Linked DNA regions of Diceros bicornis minor. The protein of the gene in region 2 purifies or fractionates together with the protein of the main gene of each other region. This does not show direct contact. Links are inferred from orthologs where the notes say so. Each region holds a gene or a part of one and is shown on either strand. Other genes may lie near its edges.

Region 1 (7,664 bases), on a different chromosome or scaffold from region 2:
ATGTCCCCAGCGGATGAGAGGGTGAGCACGCTGTGATGGAACCAGACAGTGGGGAGATATTCGGGCATAAAGGGAAATGAAGGACCCATCCACGCTACAACGTGGGCGGGCCTCGAAAACATAATCCTCAGGCAAGTCTGACACTAAAGGACATAGGTTCTAAGATCCCTTTTATAGGAAATGCCCAGCATAGGCAAATTATTTGCTGAGACAGACAAAGTAGGTTAGCAGTTGCTTTGGGCTGGAGGAGGATGGGCTGAATAGGGGATGACAGCTAAAGGGTGCGCGGTTTCTTGTTGGGGTGATGATTATATCTCAGTAAAACTGTCTCCCCACCCCCACCCTCACCCACAAAACCAGTGTTACCAGTTTATTGCTTATCTTTCCAGAATTATGCATTAAAAGCAAATATATTTATACATATTCTCCAGCCCACCTGGTGAAAATGTTTTTCTTTTACGTACTTCCCCCCAACTTTTTATTTTGAAAAGTTTCAAACCTGCAGAGAAGTTACAAGACAAGGATAATCTGTGCCCTTGCCCAGGTTCACCGGTTGTTAACATACACACGCATACACACATTGGGTTCTTTTTTGGCTGAACTATTTGCAAGTTGTGATCATCATGATACTTTGCCTCAAAAAACCCCAGCAGGTATCTCTTTTTCTTTGCTGAGGAAGACTGGCCCTGGGCTGACATCCGTGCCCATCTTCCTCTACTTTATATGGGACGCCGCCACAGCACGGCTTGACAAGCGGTGTGTAGGTCCTCGCCTGGGATCCGAACCTGCGAACCCCGGGCCGCCAAAGCAGAGCACGCAAACTTAACCAGTACGCCACCAGGCCAGCCCCAGGTATCTCTTAAGAACAGGGATGCCCGCCTACGTAGCTACAGTATAATTATCATAATCAGGCCATTTAACGGGATACAGCCCTATTATCTCATAGACAGTCTTTATTCCTGTTGTCCCGGTACTCTTAGCTATTTTCAATTTTTTAATCCAAGATCTAATCTGGGGTCACACTTTGCATTTAGTTGTCAGCACTCTGTAGTCTTTCCTTTAATCTAAAACAGTTTCCTGGCTGTTTTTTTCCCCCCTTTCATGACATACGACATTTTTGAAGATTCCAGACTGGTATTTTTACAGACCACTCTTTACTTTGGTTTGATTGTTTCCTAGTGACTAGAATCAGGGTAAACATTTTCCTTGACATCTTTTTTTTTTTTTTCATACAAAAGATAGCACTAAGTACACCGTTCTGCACCTTGCCTTCTCTACCTAACAATGGGTCTTTGAGAGCCCTCCATATCAGTGCATAGAGAGCTTCCTCATTCCTTTATACAGCTGCATAGTATTCCATGGAACGGAATTAATGTAATTGATTTAAACAGTCCCCCAGGGGAGGACATTTAGGTGGTTTCCAGTCTTTTGTGATTGCAAACAGTGCTGCCGGAAATAACCTTGTAAATGTACTTTTTCATTATGTGATAGTATATCTGTAGCATGAACCCCTAGGTGTGGAATTGCAGCCTCCCCACTTTTATGTTTCTAATTGAGGTGTAATTTACATATAGTGAAATGCACAGGTCTCAGGTGGACAGCTGGATATGCAGTACATTTCCATCACTCCAGAAAATTCCCTTGTGCCCCTTCCCGGTCAATCTCTCCCACCCCGCAAGCAGCCACTAGCCTGATTTCTAGCATCATAGATTAGTTTAGTCTATTCTAGAACTTTGTGTAAACGGCATCCTACAATATATACTCTTTTTATAATTGAGACGAAATTAACCATTTTAAAGTGTACTGTGCAGTGGCGTTTACCATACTTACAATGTTGTGCAGTCACCCACCTCCATCTAGTTCCAGAATATTTTCTTTCTTTTTTTTTTTGTTTCTTTTGGTGAAGAAGATTGGCCCTGAGCTAACATCTGTTGCCAGTCCTCCTCTTTTTGCTTGAGGAAGATTGTCCCCAAGCTAACATCTGTGCCTGTCTTCCTCTGTTTTGTATATGGGACGCCGCCACAGGATGGCTTGATGAGTGGTGTGTAAGTCTGCGCCTGGGATCCAAACCTTTGAACCCCGGGCCGCCGAAGCAGACCACGTGAACCCAACCGCTACGCCCCCAGGCAGGCCCCTCTAGAACATTTTCATGCCCCCAAAAGGAAACCCCATGCTCGTTAGCAGTCACTCCCCATCCCCCCAGGGTGTACTCATGTCTGGCTTGTGTTCGGTGTGTTTTGGAGATTCATCCATCCTGTGTGTATGTATATCAGTAGCTGCCTCTTTTTTTAATGCTGAGAGGTATTCCACTGTATCCCACCTCCACACGTTTGCAATAACACACCCCCAACAGTTCAGAATTTTTCTGTGCTGTATTTAAGGTCTAAGCTAAGCCACTGTAACAGAGAGACCCCAAAGCCCAGTGGCTCAGGCAAGATACAAGTTTATTTCTCCACATAGCCCTCCAAAGGTAGGTAGTTCATTTCTCCACATAAACCTCCAAAAGGTTGTTGAGGGGCCCGGGTTCCTTCCATCTTGTAGCTCTGCATTCTCTGGAATGTTATCCTTTTCCCTGTGGTCACGGTTGGTTCACCACCACCACATCCATGCTCCAGCCATCGGGAAGGGGGAAGGTGCTGGAGGGCAAGCTTCCTTCTAAGGCTGTCCCCGATGTTGCACGCCTTGAAGTCGTTCCCGTTCCGTGAGAGAGAACTCGGTCACGTGACCACCCCAGCAGTGCACACCGTGAAACGTAGTCTCGAGCTGGGCAGCCTGTGGCAGCCCCAAGGCAAGGGGTCGGTGTTGAAAAGGATGAAGGGGGGAGACTGGATCTGGGGGCATAGTTGTGGGATCCAGAGGTGTTCCCTTGAACCTGGGCAGCTGACCTATCCACTCCCCTCCCCTCCCCACCAGCTGGGTCTGGGGTCTGCTCTAGGCTCCCATAATCCCCTCTGTCTCAGCCTGGACACTGAGAGATGTGTGCTTTTCTAACAATTCATTTTCTTTTTTAATAATTTCAAACATGGGAAGGTTGAAAGAATAATACCAAGAACACCTGTGTACCCTTCACCCAGATTCACCTGTTTTCACAGTTTTCCTTATTTACTTTGTGATTTGCACACACACATGCTTTCTTTTTCTCCTCTCTATGTACATATGCACACTGTAAAACAACTTTTCCGAACAGCTTGCATAGATCATGGCCATTTACCCCTAAATACTTAAGTGTGCATTTCCTTAGAATATTCTCTTTCTGAGCCGCAGAAAGTTACCAACTTGAATAGGCTTAACCTAAATACAGTCTTTTGTCTAATCTACTAGAGGACATGTACTTGTATATCAATATATCCTGTCAAAATATACCCCTCAGATAGGGGCCGGCCTGGTGGCGTAGTGGTTAAGTGCGCGTGCTCCCCTTCGGCAGTCCGGGGTTTGCGGGTTCGGATCCCAGGCGTGGACCTATGCACCGCTCATCAAGCCATGCTGTGGCAGCGTCCCATATAAAGTGGAGGAAGATGGGCATGGATGTCAGCCTAGGGCCAATCTTCCTCAGCAAAAAGAGGGGGATTGGCAGATGTTAGCCCAGGGCTGATCTTCCTCACCAAAAAAAAAAAAAAAAAAAAAAAAAACGAAAAAGAATACATGTAAACACATCTAAACAGCAGTCTCTATTTGGTTTGCTGTTGTGTTTCCTACTTTGGATTGTGGATTGAGGGCGGGGGCTGCTCTCAAGGGCATTTTGGGGATTATTGGAGAAATTGGAAAAAGGACTCTTTATTTTGTATTATTATTGAGTCAGTGTTAAATGTCCTGGATTTGATCATTGCACCATGCTTATTTAAGAGAATGTCCTTAAATAGGAAAATAGATAGTAATCTGAATTGTGCATATTGTATATGGGGGTGGGGAGAGGGAGTGGGAAGCAGATGTGGCCCCATATTGACACTCGGGGACTCTGGGTGAAGGCTACACAGGAGTTCTATGAGTTTGAAATTATTTCAGAATAAAAAGGGAGGGCTCTTGTGTTTGTTTTGTTTTTGAGTGCAGTGTTTTGAGCTGGGAAGGGACCTGATCAGATCCGTCTTTCAGGCCACTCCCTGGCCCCCAACACAGTGACTGGCCTGAAGGGGGCGCTGCCCAGCTGTTTGTCGAGGGAAGGCCCGGGCAGATGTGGTGATGGGCGGGCGAGGGCCTTGAGGACAGAGGTTTATGGGAAAGAAAGGGAAGTGCTAAGGAACGATGATGTGATGTGATGGGCAGAGAGGGGAGAGGGCGAGGAGAGCCAGTGACGAGGGGTCTGCAAGGGGCAAGTACCCAGGGACAGAAGGACGTGGAGGGCCTGAGCGTGTGAGGAGAGGGTTAGGCTGAGCTGGGGGGTGGGCTGGAGTTACATCAGCTGATGATCACTGGGCGTCTGGAGCGTTCCAGCACCCTGTGAGCCTGCGGGTGGAGAGCCGTGTTACCCTTCAGGCGCTCCAGAGAATCAAAAGGCTCACAGTCATGGTGGGTGCACGGGAGGCCACGGAGAAGGCGGGAACCCTCACCCAGCCCCGAATTGCCTGGCAGGATGGATGGCAAGCGGCGGTCAGGCCCGGGGCCCGGGGTGCCCCCGAAGCGGGCCCGGGGGGGCCTCTGGGATGAGGATGAGGCGTCTGGGCCGTCCCAGTTCGAGGAGGATCTGGCGCTGATGGAGGAGCTGGAGGCAGAGCACCGGCTGCAGGAACAGGAGGAGGAGGAGCTACTGTCGGCCGTGGACGGGGCTGCGGACGGTGAGGCCTGGAGCGGGAGCCCCCTGCGCCCCCTCCCATCTTGCCTCTGATCTGAGGCAGCCACAGAGCTGACCTGTAACCTCTGGCCCACTTTGAGCCCCACATAGGGCTGACCTTTGACCCCATGCCAGTATACCACTTCCTGCCTGCAGTTTCTATTCTGACCTTGATCCTACAGTCTCTCCCGAGATTCCTGCCTGATCCAGACCACCACCTCCCCTGACTCTCCTTTCACAAATCGGATGCCACCTGAGGGGTCACGGGCTGGGCTGGGAGGGCAGTTACTTATCCTGAGGGAGAACCCCGACTCATGTAGCCCTGCTTCCCTCCCCACACGCAGGGCAGTTCTCCCAGACAGCCATAGATCCCCGCTGGCTTCGGCCCTCCCCGCCCCCCCTAGACCCCCAGACGGAGCCCCTCATCTTCCAGCAGTTGGAGATCGACCATTACGTAGGTGAGTTTGGGGGACAGAAGCCTGGCGGGTGGGTGGAGGGGCCCTGGGCTCCTGCGGGGGAGGCCTGGCCGCGTCAGCCCCGCTGGCTCTGTGGGAGGAGATGGACACAGGCAGTCCCTGCCCTGGTGACCGGGGCTGTGAGAGGGAGGGACAGGCCTGGGGGTGCCCAGAGGGGGCAGCGAGGAGTCTGGTGGGGGGTCGAGAGGGGCACGGGTATCCAGAAGGGCTTCCTGGAGGAGGGGAGCATCTTCCAGCTGAGGCCTGGAGGTAAAAAGAACTGACTCCTTGCAGAGGGGAGAGACGTGTGTGACATCCATCCATCCATCCACTTATCTAGTCAGTCAGGAACAGCTGAGCGTCTCTACCGAGCCAGGCCCTGTTCCTGGCAGACCAGGTCCCTGCTCTCAGAGGCTCACGTTCTGGAAGGAGGGGCAAAATAAAAAGGGAAATGGGACAGCAGGTAGCCGTGAGGGTTATAGAAGAACAAAGCGGGGAGTAGGATGCGGGGCGTGCTGGACCACGCTTCTTGAAGGTCCAGGAAGGCCTCTCTGCGGAGGCGACAAGGAGCAGAGGGGATGTCTGGGAAAGAGGGGTTCTGGGTGGAGGGTCCCGGGCAGGAGCAGGTCTGGTGTGTTTAAGGAGCAGCGAGGAGACCAGTGTGGGGGAGCGAGGGGCAGAGATGAAGGCAAGGGGGCACAGGAGAGCCTGTCGCCCGCGAGGACTTCAGGGCTCCGTTCTGAGCGCACTGGGGAGTCTCTCGCAATGCAGAGGCCCGCTCCCCCTTGCCTATTAGAGGCCTCCCTGTGATAGAATGAAAAGAAACTACAGGCGGGGAGGACGCATTCATCACCCACACGCCTGACAGAGGACCGTGCCGCACATATATAGAGAACACTCAGGTCTCCACAGTAAGAGAACAATCCAGTTCAAAAGTGGACACAAAACTTGAACAGACAACTCACTGGAGGAGAAGGATGGCCGAGGAGCATGTGGGATGATGCTCTGTGTCCCTAGCTCCTGGGGAAATGCACGTGACAGCTGCAGGGAGACACAGCACGCCCCTCTCAGAAGGACGGAAGTGAAATATGCTGGCACCACCAGGTGCTGGCGGTACGCGGCAGGGCGCGGCCACTCGGGGAAACAGCCTGGCCGTTTCTTACCGAGTTTAAGCTACTCTCTTTTTGTCCATTGGGACTCTAGTGGGTTTTTTCCAGCTTTATTGAGATAAAAGAGTTAAACCTACTCTTGGGGCTGGCCCTGTGGCCTAGTGGTTAAGTTTGGCACCTTCTGCTTTGGCGGCCTGAGTTTGGTTCCCAGGCGCAGACCTACACCACTCATTGACTGCCATACTGTGGTGGTGACCCTCATACAAAATAGAGGAAGACTGGCACAGATGTTAGTTCAGGGCCAATCTTCCTCAGCAAAAAAAAAAAGAAAGAAAGAAAAAGAAAAGAAGAGTTAAACCTACTCTTACCATAGGACCCAGCAATTCCACCCCTAGATATTTACCCCAGAGAAACAGCAACCTCGCTTCAAACAAAAACCTGTACCCGGATGTTAATAGCATCTCTTCTCATAACCGCCCCAAACTGGAAACAACCCACATATCCTGCTACCGGGGGAGCGGATAAGCAAACTCTGGTCCATCCACACCGCGCAGTGCTTCTCCACAATAAGGAGGAAGGAGCTGTTGACGCGTGAGGAGGATGAATGTCAGGGGTGTCGTGCTGAGTGCGAGGCAGACCCAGCGGTGACGGGCTGTACAACTCCATTCACAGGGACGGTCTCGAAAAGACGCAGTTAGACGGGGAACAGACCGTCAGTGCCGGGGTGGGGTGGGAGGGGGGCGTGGTTGCAGAGGGGCAGCTCGAGGGAGCTGTCCGGAGTGGCGGAAGCGTCTAGTACCCCGATTTTGGTGGTGGTTACGTGAATGTGTATGTGCGTTCAAGCTCGTAACACTATACAAAGTCGATTTTACTTTTTAAAAGAAAATCTTTGCATTTGCAGAAAAGGGTGGGGGTCTCCGTCTGGCTGCGCCGTGGAAAGTGGACGTTAGGGGGACAAGGGTGGAAACGGAGCCCGGGGCAGGCGGGGCTCGCCTCCACGCCAGGGCTGAAATCAGGCGGCGTGCACAGCGCGGAAGGGCCCCGAGCTGCAGGAACGGGGCTGCGTTCCCGGCACGGGAGGGCCCCGGGGAGGCGAACCTTTGAGGAGTCTGAGAGGGCAGCCCCTGCCTTACCCTGTGACGCCCCCAGGCCCAGCACAGCCCCTGCCTTGGGCGCCGTTGCCACCTCTCGGCTCCGTGCCTGTGCTCCGCGCCTTCGGGGTCACCGACGAGGGCGTCTCCATCTGCTGCCACATCCACGGCTTTGCGCCCTACTTCTACACCCCGGCGCCCCCTGGTGAGTGTCCCCGACCCAGGAGACCCCCACCTCGCCCCC
Region 2 (7,559 bases):
TACTAAACAAGTCTGCTAATAAGTACATGAGTGGTAGAGAAATAAGTACCACCAAGATTCTGAAGTGTGAGATGAGTCTGGCTGGAGTAATCAGGAAACGCTTGGAGGCAGGCAGCAAGCACTCAAGCTGGGCCTTGAATCCTAGGTCTAACTTTGATTAGATGGAGCTAGTGGAGGGAACTGGGAAGGAAAGCACTCAGGGAACAGAAAATCAAGGTGGCTGCGTGGAACTAAAGGTCTAGGAGGGGAGTGGTGAGAGTAAAAGCAAGCTAGGGCCAGGTGTTGGCAGCCTTTGAATGCCTGGCTCAGAAGCCTTTAACCCTTAGGCTGCCGGGTCATTTCTCTTCCATCATTTGCACCTTTATATCTAACACCTATTTTCACCAGGAACCCAGGTGCAAAACAAAGTTGGTGGTAGCTGCCTTTAGGATCACAGGGTGTTTCTTCTTCATTTACAATGTGTAGAAGGGGCTTCTGCTGTGAGTGGCTGAATAGAAAGCTGGTCCCTTTAGCACTAACACAGCTTGATTTAGGCTGGAGGATTAGAAAGCACATCTTATTGTGGGGATGCTTCAAAACTCTGTCAGCCTTTACCAACCCTAACCAGGGCTGTGACCTAAGATCAAGAATACCAATTTAATCCTTCTCAAATTTGCTTTCATTATACAACTGACTCCCTTGCTCAAGGATCTACAATGACTCCTATTACCTACAATAGGTCATTCAAATCGCTCCGCCAGGAATCCAAGGTTATACATAATCCAACCCCAACAAGCCTTTTCAACTTCATCTGTCACTACCCCTCTGTTACTTTTCTGCTACTACCAAACTGCTTTTCTAGTCAGGAGGGGCTAAATTACAGCAGGGCTAGTGTTACAGTCTTAGCTGAGCTGAATTAAATTTAAACTAGACAACAGGTTAGGCCATTTTTTTCAGGCATAAAAAATACAAATTTTACAAAAGTATTAGTAAGAACTTGGCAATCCTTATTCACGCATCTTCTCAAATGTGTTATGAATTTGAAAAATCCAAAATTATTGTGTTCATAACGTATAAATGTGAAAGAAGGGTTACAAACGACACATATAGTAATGTTCTTTATCTTGGTAGGGGGTTGGACTGTGCAGGTGTATGTATTTGTCAAAATCCATGAATGTACATTTAAGATTTGTACACTTCATTGGATATAAATTTTACACCAAAATAAACTGTAAAGGAACTCTAGTTAATGATATGCATACCAAAGTATTTAGGGGGAAATGTAGTGATATCTGCAATTTAAATGGTGGATGGATATGCGATAAAGCAAGGTATATTAAAATGTTAATGGTAGAATCTAGGTGGTGGGTGTATGTGTTTCTTATGAAATTCTTTAGACTTTGCTCTATAATTTTCATAATAAAACATTGGGAAAAATGACATTGATAACAGACTGCACTTGTTAATTGTAAGCACTCAACACACTATACTTCATAAAGCTGTAAGAAGTTAAGCTCAGGGCCGGCCCCATGGCTTACTGGTTAAGTGTGCGCGCTCCGCTGCCGGCGGCCCGGGTTCGGATCCCGGGCGCACACCGACGCACCACTCCTCCGGCCATGCTGAGGCCGCGTCCCACATGCAGCAACTAGAAGGATGTGCAGCTATGACAGACAACTATCTACTGGGGCTTTGGGGGAAAAATAAATAAATAAAATCTTTAAAAAAAAAAAAAAGAAGTTAAGCTCAGTGGAATGGCAGCATCAGGCATTTGCTCCTTGATGCTTCCATGCCACCTTGCACATATCTTTTATAGCTCTTTTCATGGTGTAGTGTACTATCTGTTTGCATGGTTGTCTCTCCCATCACACTATAAATTCCTAGCGGGCACAGATCTAGTCTGATTTGTATTTATATTCCTATTGCTTTGCATTGTGTTTGCAGAATAATGTGTGTTCAACAATGGTGGAAAGATTGTATGAAAGTGGAATACTGCTAAGGACCAAAGTATTATATACTTCTAGTAGATTCACTTTATTCATTTCTCAGATATTCTAAAAGTTAATATGTTCAATTTTCAAGAGAAATGTGTCCTTTACTTCTCTCCAAGCATGCAAAAATTCCAAAAATAAAGCCAAAACTCATCTGTACTCAAGAGATTATTTTATATTCTATTACTTAAACACGAGGTCTGAAGCCCTCCTAACATTCAATAACTTTTTAGGTTTTTTCCTAAAAGAGTAAGGTCTCAGAACTCCAAGGAAATCTGTAATTTGCTTTATTCAAATCTAGATAAGCTGTCAGAACTAAGAGATTCCTGAACTGGTCAAAAGCAGGAAACTATAAAGATCTGGGGAAAAAATAAAAACAAATACCACACAAAAATGTCATGAAAAAATTAATCAAGAACTTTACCAAGAAATGTAGGGAAAGGCTTAGGGAGGATGCGCAGAACATCTCAAACTCTCCCCAGACTGGCATCTCTCCTCCTCTCTCCAATTAGAGCCAGTCAGACGCCCGGCCGCCCGGCCACTCCCAACATGCCACGTGACTCGAGCTGATGCCGCTGTAGATGCATCTTCTCACGTCAACCTCCCAGAAACAAGAGCTCTGGCGGTGTGAGCACCTGATTCTGAACTGAAGAACCTGGGTCCGAGTCCCAGCTCCCCCACTTGCCTGATCTGCGAGTCTCTTGCACTCGCTGGGCCTCAGTTTCCTCAAGTGAAATGGTAATTACTTTCCTAACCCGGCCAGCGCAAAGGGTGGCTATGCACGGAGACGAGGGTCGTAAAGGCGCTTTAGGGAAGATGCAAGCGACTCTCAGTTTGTTATGGCTTTTAAGCACGCGCTGCTCACAACCAGCCCCAGACCAATCTCTCAAAGTCACCACTGTCCCTCACTCCCTTCCCGCTCAGGGTCTGTGCTGAGGCCGCTCCCTCCTGCCGGCCCCCACGCGGAAGCCGCGCGGCGCCGTCTGCCGTACCTGCAGCCACTTGGTCAGCGGGGCCCTCCTGCTGACCCATGACGAAGTCGTGTACGAGGCCCCACAGGTTGCCTGTAGGCGCCACCGCCTCCAGAGCGGCGGCGGCGGCCATGATGCGAACCGCGGGAGGGAGAAGTGGGCGGTGGTACGGGACAGGCCTCTCGGCGCACGCGCCTCCCGAGCCAATGGGCTGGCGGAGGCTGAGGGGGCGGGGCGCTCCCTGGATCACGTGCCTGCAGGCTCCCGGCCAGGCAATTCCAGAGAGGCGTGGGACGGTCCCTCCCCGAGGGGCGGGGCCTAGAGTCGGGGCGGAGGCGCGGGGAGGGAAGGCGGCTGCTGGGCACGCAACCGGGGGCCGTTGAGGGCGAATAATTCCGGGCCCGGCTCCCCGGGAGACGGGCGGCGGGGCGGACACCTGGCTGGGTGGGGCCTAGGGGCGGTACGCACCCTAGGGAAGCCAATGAGAAAATCAGGCCCGGCCCGAGGGGGCGGTGCCGTCGGTCACATGCGCACCTGGGGCGGGCGGCGGCGGCGGCGCTGGCACTGCGAGCCAGGGGCAGGGAGCGGGGCCGGGCTGGGGCGGGGTTAGGCAGGTGAGTGACAGGCTCCAGGGGGCCGGCCCCAGCTGGGAGCCCCGAGCGAGCCGGGAGTAGCTGCGGCGGTGCCCGCCCCCTCTCTCCGCCCCTCCGGCGGAGCTGGTCTCCGGCCGGGCACCGTCGCGGGCCCCCCTGGCCCGGCCACCTGGGACTGTGCTGCGGAGTCGGCCACCTCCCTCTCTCCCCTCGCCCGCAAAGTTTGTGGCGAAGCCGGCGCTTGGGCAGAGCGCGACCCCGGGGGGAGATTGGGGAGCGCCTGATGCCCGGCGGCAGGAGCCGTTGACCCGGGACGCCGCCGTCCGGGCCAGGGGTGCGGAGCAGCCGGCCCGCCCGCCGCCTCCGGTGCATGGGGCCCGGCTGAGGAGGCAGCATGGGCAACTGCGTGGGGAGACAGCGCCGGGAGAGGCCGGACGCCCCGGGACACCCCCGCAAGCGAGCAGGTAACGACCGGGAAGGGAGCAGGGCAACGGGCGCCCCGCCAGTTGTCCCCCTCCTTGCCCGAGCCCTGGGCTCCCGGAGTGACCTCCCAAAGCTCCTGGAGCCTGGGTTTCCCCGATGGGTGCTCCTGAGCGAGACTGGGGCCCCCTCCCCAGCCCTGGTAACCGGGGGAGCCGAGTTGGGGCAACTGCGAGCGCTGACCCGCCTGTGAGCCCAACTTGCTCCAACTGGGAAGCTCCGGGTGGGGGTGGGGGCGGGGGCAGGAAATGTTTGCAGACCGCAGCGGGGCCGATGAAGGGGAGGAGGGCTCCGGGCGGGGGCGCCGCTGACCTGGCAGTAGGGCTGGGGTCGGACGTCCACCCGTCGGGACACGGTGCGGGCGGCTAGGCGTCCCCAGAACTCTGAGCGAGCGAGGCGAGAACAGTCGCTCCTTCCAAAGACTGTGTCATTATCCGGCTGCAGATCGTGTCTGCCGGAATCCGACTTGCAAAAGCAGCGCAGGACTCTGGGAAAGAAATCTTTATTTTTCCCGCAGGCTTTTTAGAGCCTCCTGGCCGTCTGGGAGCCTGGGAAAGGTGGGGTGCGGGGTGGGAATCGCCCTCGGGTTCGTTGGGATACTTCCCAGCCTTGGGAATGGGATCTACTCTCTGCTGATCTGCGAGGGCCGAGCAGCGCCTTCTCACTTTCTTGGTACACTCCTATCCTGGCGTTTTGCCCCGGGAAGAGGTCTGGCGGCCGCTTCCCCGTGTCTTGTACTCACTTCCTTCTCTGAGGATGTTGCAAGGACCTTCTGAGAATGATAAAATCGTAGACTTTAGAGCTGTAAGGGACCTTTGAAGCTTGTCTAGAGTCCAGATAGACGTACCTCCTCCTGTCTATGTACAAAGCCCAAATCCAGAGAGGTTGATCAACTTGCCCAAAGCCACACAGCTAGTTGGTAGTACAGCTAGAGGTAGAACGCAGTCTCCTCTTCCACCCAATTGCCACATATCCCTTTGTGTCAGAAGAGCTACAGGCAGGATTGTTAATGAAGTGGAAATTCTAGTTGGAGTTTCCTGTCTCGTTTGACACTGAAGGTGTGTTGCTTGGGTTGTGGAAACCGGGAAGTAGGATGAGGGGAAACGGGGGAAGCAGGGAAGGATGTCTGTGTGGTGGACAGGATGACTTGTGGAAGAGACATGTTTTTATAGGGGGGACAGGGTAAAATTTAACATTGAAACCCTCTTGTCTGAAGGCAACCCTGACCTTTCTTCTGACTGAGGAAAGTTAATTCTCAAACCCAAGGGCTTTCTTCCTTTCATTCATTCATTTATTCAACAAGTATTTATTATTTATGTGCTCAGTCCACATAATTGACTTAGTAGCATTTTTCACTAACAACCCACTCCTACTTGAAATAATCCCTCCTTCCCTTCTTGTCATTAGACTATCTTGGTTTTTTTCTCTGATCACTCCTGCCCACCATCACCTCCTGGGTGTGGGCACACCCGTGATTCAATATGACATTCCATTTTTTTCTCTCATTATACTCCCTCCCAGGGAAATCTTATTCAGTCCCACAACTCTGTCTGTTGGGAAGACCTCTAATCTGTATCTTCAACTATTGCCTCTTGAACCCCACACTCATATCTCTAACTGCCCACTGGATGCCCTAATGTAGATATCCTTAGATTCAGCACTTCTAAAACCAGCTCTGCATCTCTCCCCCTCAACCAGCTTCCCTCTTCTCTTCCATTCTTGCAGCTGCCTAGCTTTGTACTTTGAAGAACTCTCTCTGCTGACTTTCTCTGCCTCCATGTCCTCTGCCTCCCAGCCAGTCAGTCACTGGAACCTGCTGGATCCTCCTTCAGCAGGTCATATGAACCTGCCCGTTCCCACTCTGCTTCATGCCCTTGTCACCTCAAGCTCAATATCTCCCAGGTTGATGTCAGTTCCCCACCAGAGGCAAGTTCATCTTCAGTCATTCATCCAGTGCCTGCACATGGTGGTCCCCCCAGAAGACTTCAGCTTTCAAGGCTGTTCAAGTCTGGTCCAGTCTGTCCTTTTAAGGTATGATTTCTTTCTCTTCCCTGACATTAAGGCCACCAGTGTTTGCTCCTGCCTTTTCGCTCTTCTTACCAAGAGCCTTTCTTCCCTTCAAGGTCCACCTCAAATCCCCATATCTTTCTAGAAGCACCTTGCCTGACAATTCCACCCCCCTCCCCGCCTAGTATAGGTGATTGCACCTTCTGAGAACTACTGCAGATACATTATGCCACTTACTTAACAATTATCTACTCCATATTGTTAGTCGTTTCTTTGATGTTTACAGTCTTTTTTTTTTTTTTTTTGGCGAGGAAGATCAGCCCTGAGCTAACATCCATGCCAATCCTCCTCTTTTTGCTGAGGAAGACTGGCCCTGGGCTAGCATCTGTGCCCATCTTCCTCCACTTTATATGGGACACCACCACAGCATGGCCTGACAAGCGGTGCCTCCATGCGCACCCGGGATCTGAACCCAGGCCACCAGCAGCGGAGCGCGTGGACTTAACCGCTACGCCATGGTGCCGGCCCCTGTTTACAGTCTTTTATCAGCAGCTATATTACAAGCTTGAAGACCTGGGTTCTGTCTTATCCTTGTGTGTGTGTGTGTCTGTCTCACTTACTCATATAGCCGTACACATGCACACACACATGCATGTACACCCATACTCAACACTTAGCACAATGACTTGTACAGAGGAGGCCCTCAATATTTATTGATTTTAGAAAGCTAATCCGACTCCATCCTACCATCCAAATTTTTCATGTAAACATTTTACTAAGGTATATATCTGCATTTTTGTTTTTACCTGCTAGTGTATCATTTTTTCAGTTCTGTGGGTCCTACTATGAATAGCTTTATTCATAAAGTCCAAAGCCAAGGGGAACCCTGTAGAATGACAAGGTTGCTCTAAGGGAAGGAATCTTTCTTAACTTCACAGCGTGCACCTGGCATTCCTGTAACATCTGCAGCTTACCCTTTGACAAGGACGTAGTTTTATGTTGTAACATTAGTGCCTAAAACTCCCCTAGATCCCACTGTAACTCTTACCTTTCCTTTGCCACTAGTGTAATGGGAAGAAACCCTCAACAGAGAACTAGAAGCTGAGTTCTAGTCCTGGGCCTATAGCTGCGTGACCCTGGGCAAGTCATCAAACCTCTCTGGATCACACTTTCAATGTCTCAGAAAGGGAGGGGATTATACAAGATCATTAGGGCTGTTTTTATCATCTTCACAAAGGCAGCTATTCAGAACTGGAAAGTTATTGAGTTGAAATCTTATGCCTTGTTATATCACCCATTGGCCTTAGTTCTGTCTTCCTAGTCACTGGATGGGTGAAGCAGAGGCACAGTGCCCACTTGGTCAGGGAGTCTTGCATTAGCTAGAAGAATTAGGTGGTCCTCTCATCTCATCAGATTTTGTGGTTGTCACTCTTTTTTTATTTTTTTTTACTGTTACTCTTAATGCATCCCCAGTAGGTCTGTGTTCTCCCCTTCAGGTGCTGATTGGTCCTTGCGTGCTTCAGAGAATACTTGGGGGTTTA

Evidence for each region.
Region 1: the proteins of MMS19 (region 2) and POLD1 purify together in Homo sapiens (affinity purification with western blotting; 3 studies listed by BioGRID and IntAct, with this or other methods). This does not show direct contact. The link is inferred for Diceros bicornis minor from reciprocal best matches to the Homo sapiens genes MMS19 and POLD1.

What each region holds. Positions count from the first base shown.
Region 1 is NC_080773.1:25,593,688-25,601,351, forward strand, and holds the start of POLD1 (DNA polymerase delta catalytic subunit), read left to right. Parts: upstream 1-4,566; 5' UTR 4,567-4,567; coding exon 4,568-4,769; intron 4,770-5,109; coding exon 5,110-5,223; intron 5,224-7,478; coding exon 7,479-7,625; intron 7,626-7,664. UniProt on the Homo sapiens protein: As the catalytic component of the trimeric (Pol-delta3 complex) and tetrameric DNA polymerase delta complexes (Pol-delta4 complex), plays a crucial role in high fidelity genome replication, including in lagging strand synthesis, and repair.
Region 2 is NC_080745.1:63,272,516-63,280,074, forward strand, and holds the start of MMS19 (MMS19 nucleotide excision repair protein homolog), read right to left. Parts: upstream 3,087-7,559; 5' UTR 3,072-3,086; coding exon 2,960-3,071; intron 1-2,959. Other genes in the region: UBTD1 (ubiquitin domain-containing protein 1), read left to right, coding at 3,926-3,995. UniProt on the Homo sapiens protein: Key component of the cytosolic iron-sulfur protein assembly (CIA) complex, a multiprotein complex that mediates the incorporation of iron-sulfur cluster into apoproteins specifically involved in DNA metabolism and genomic integrity.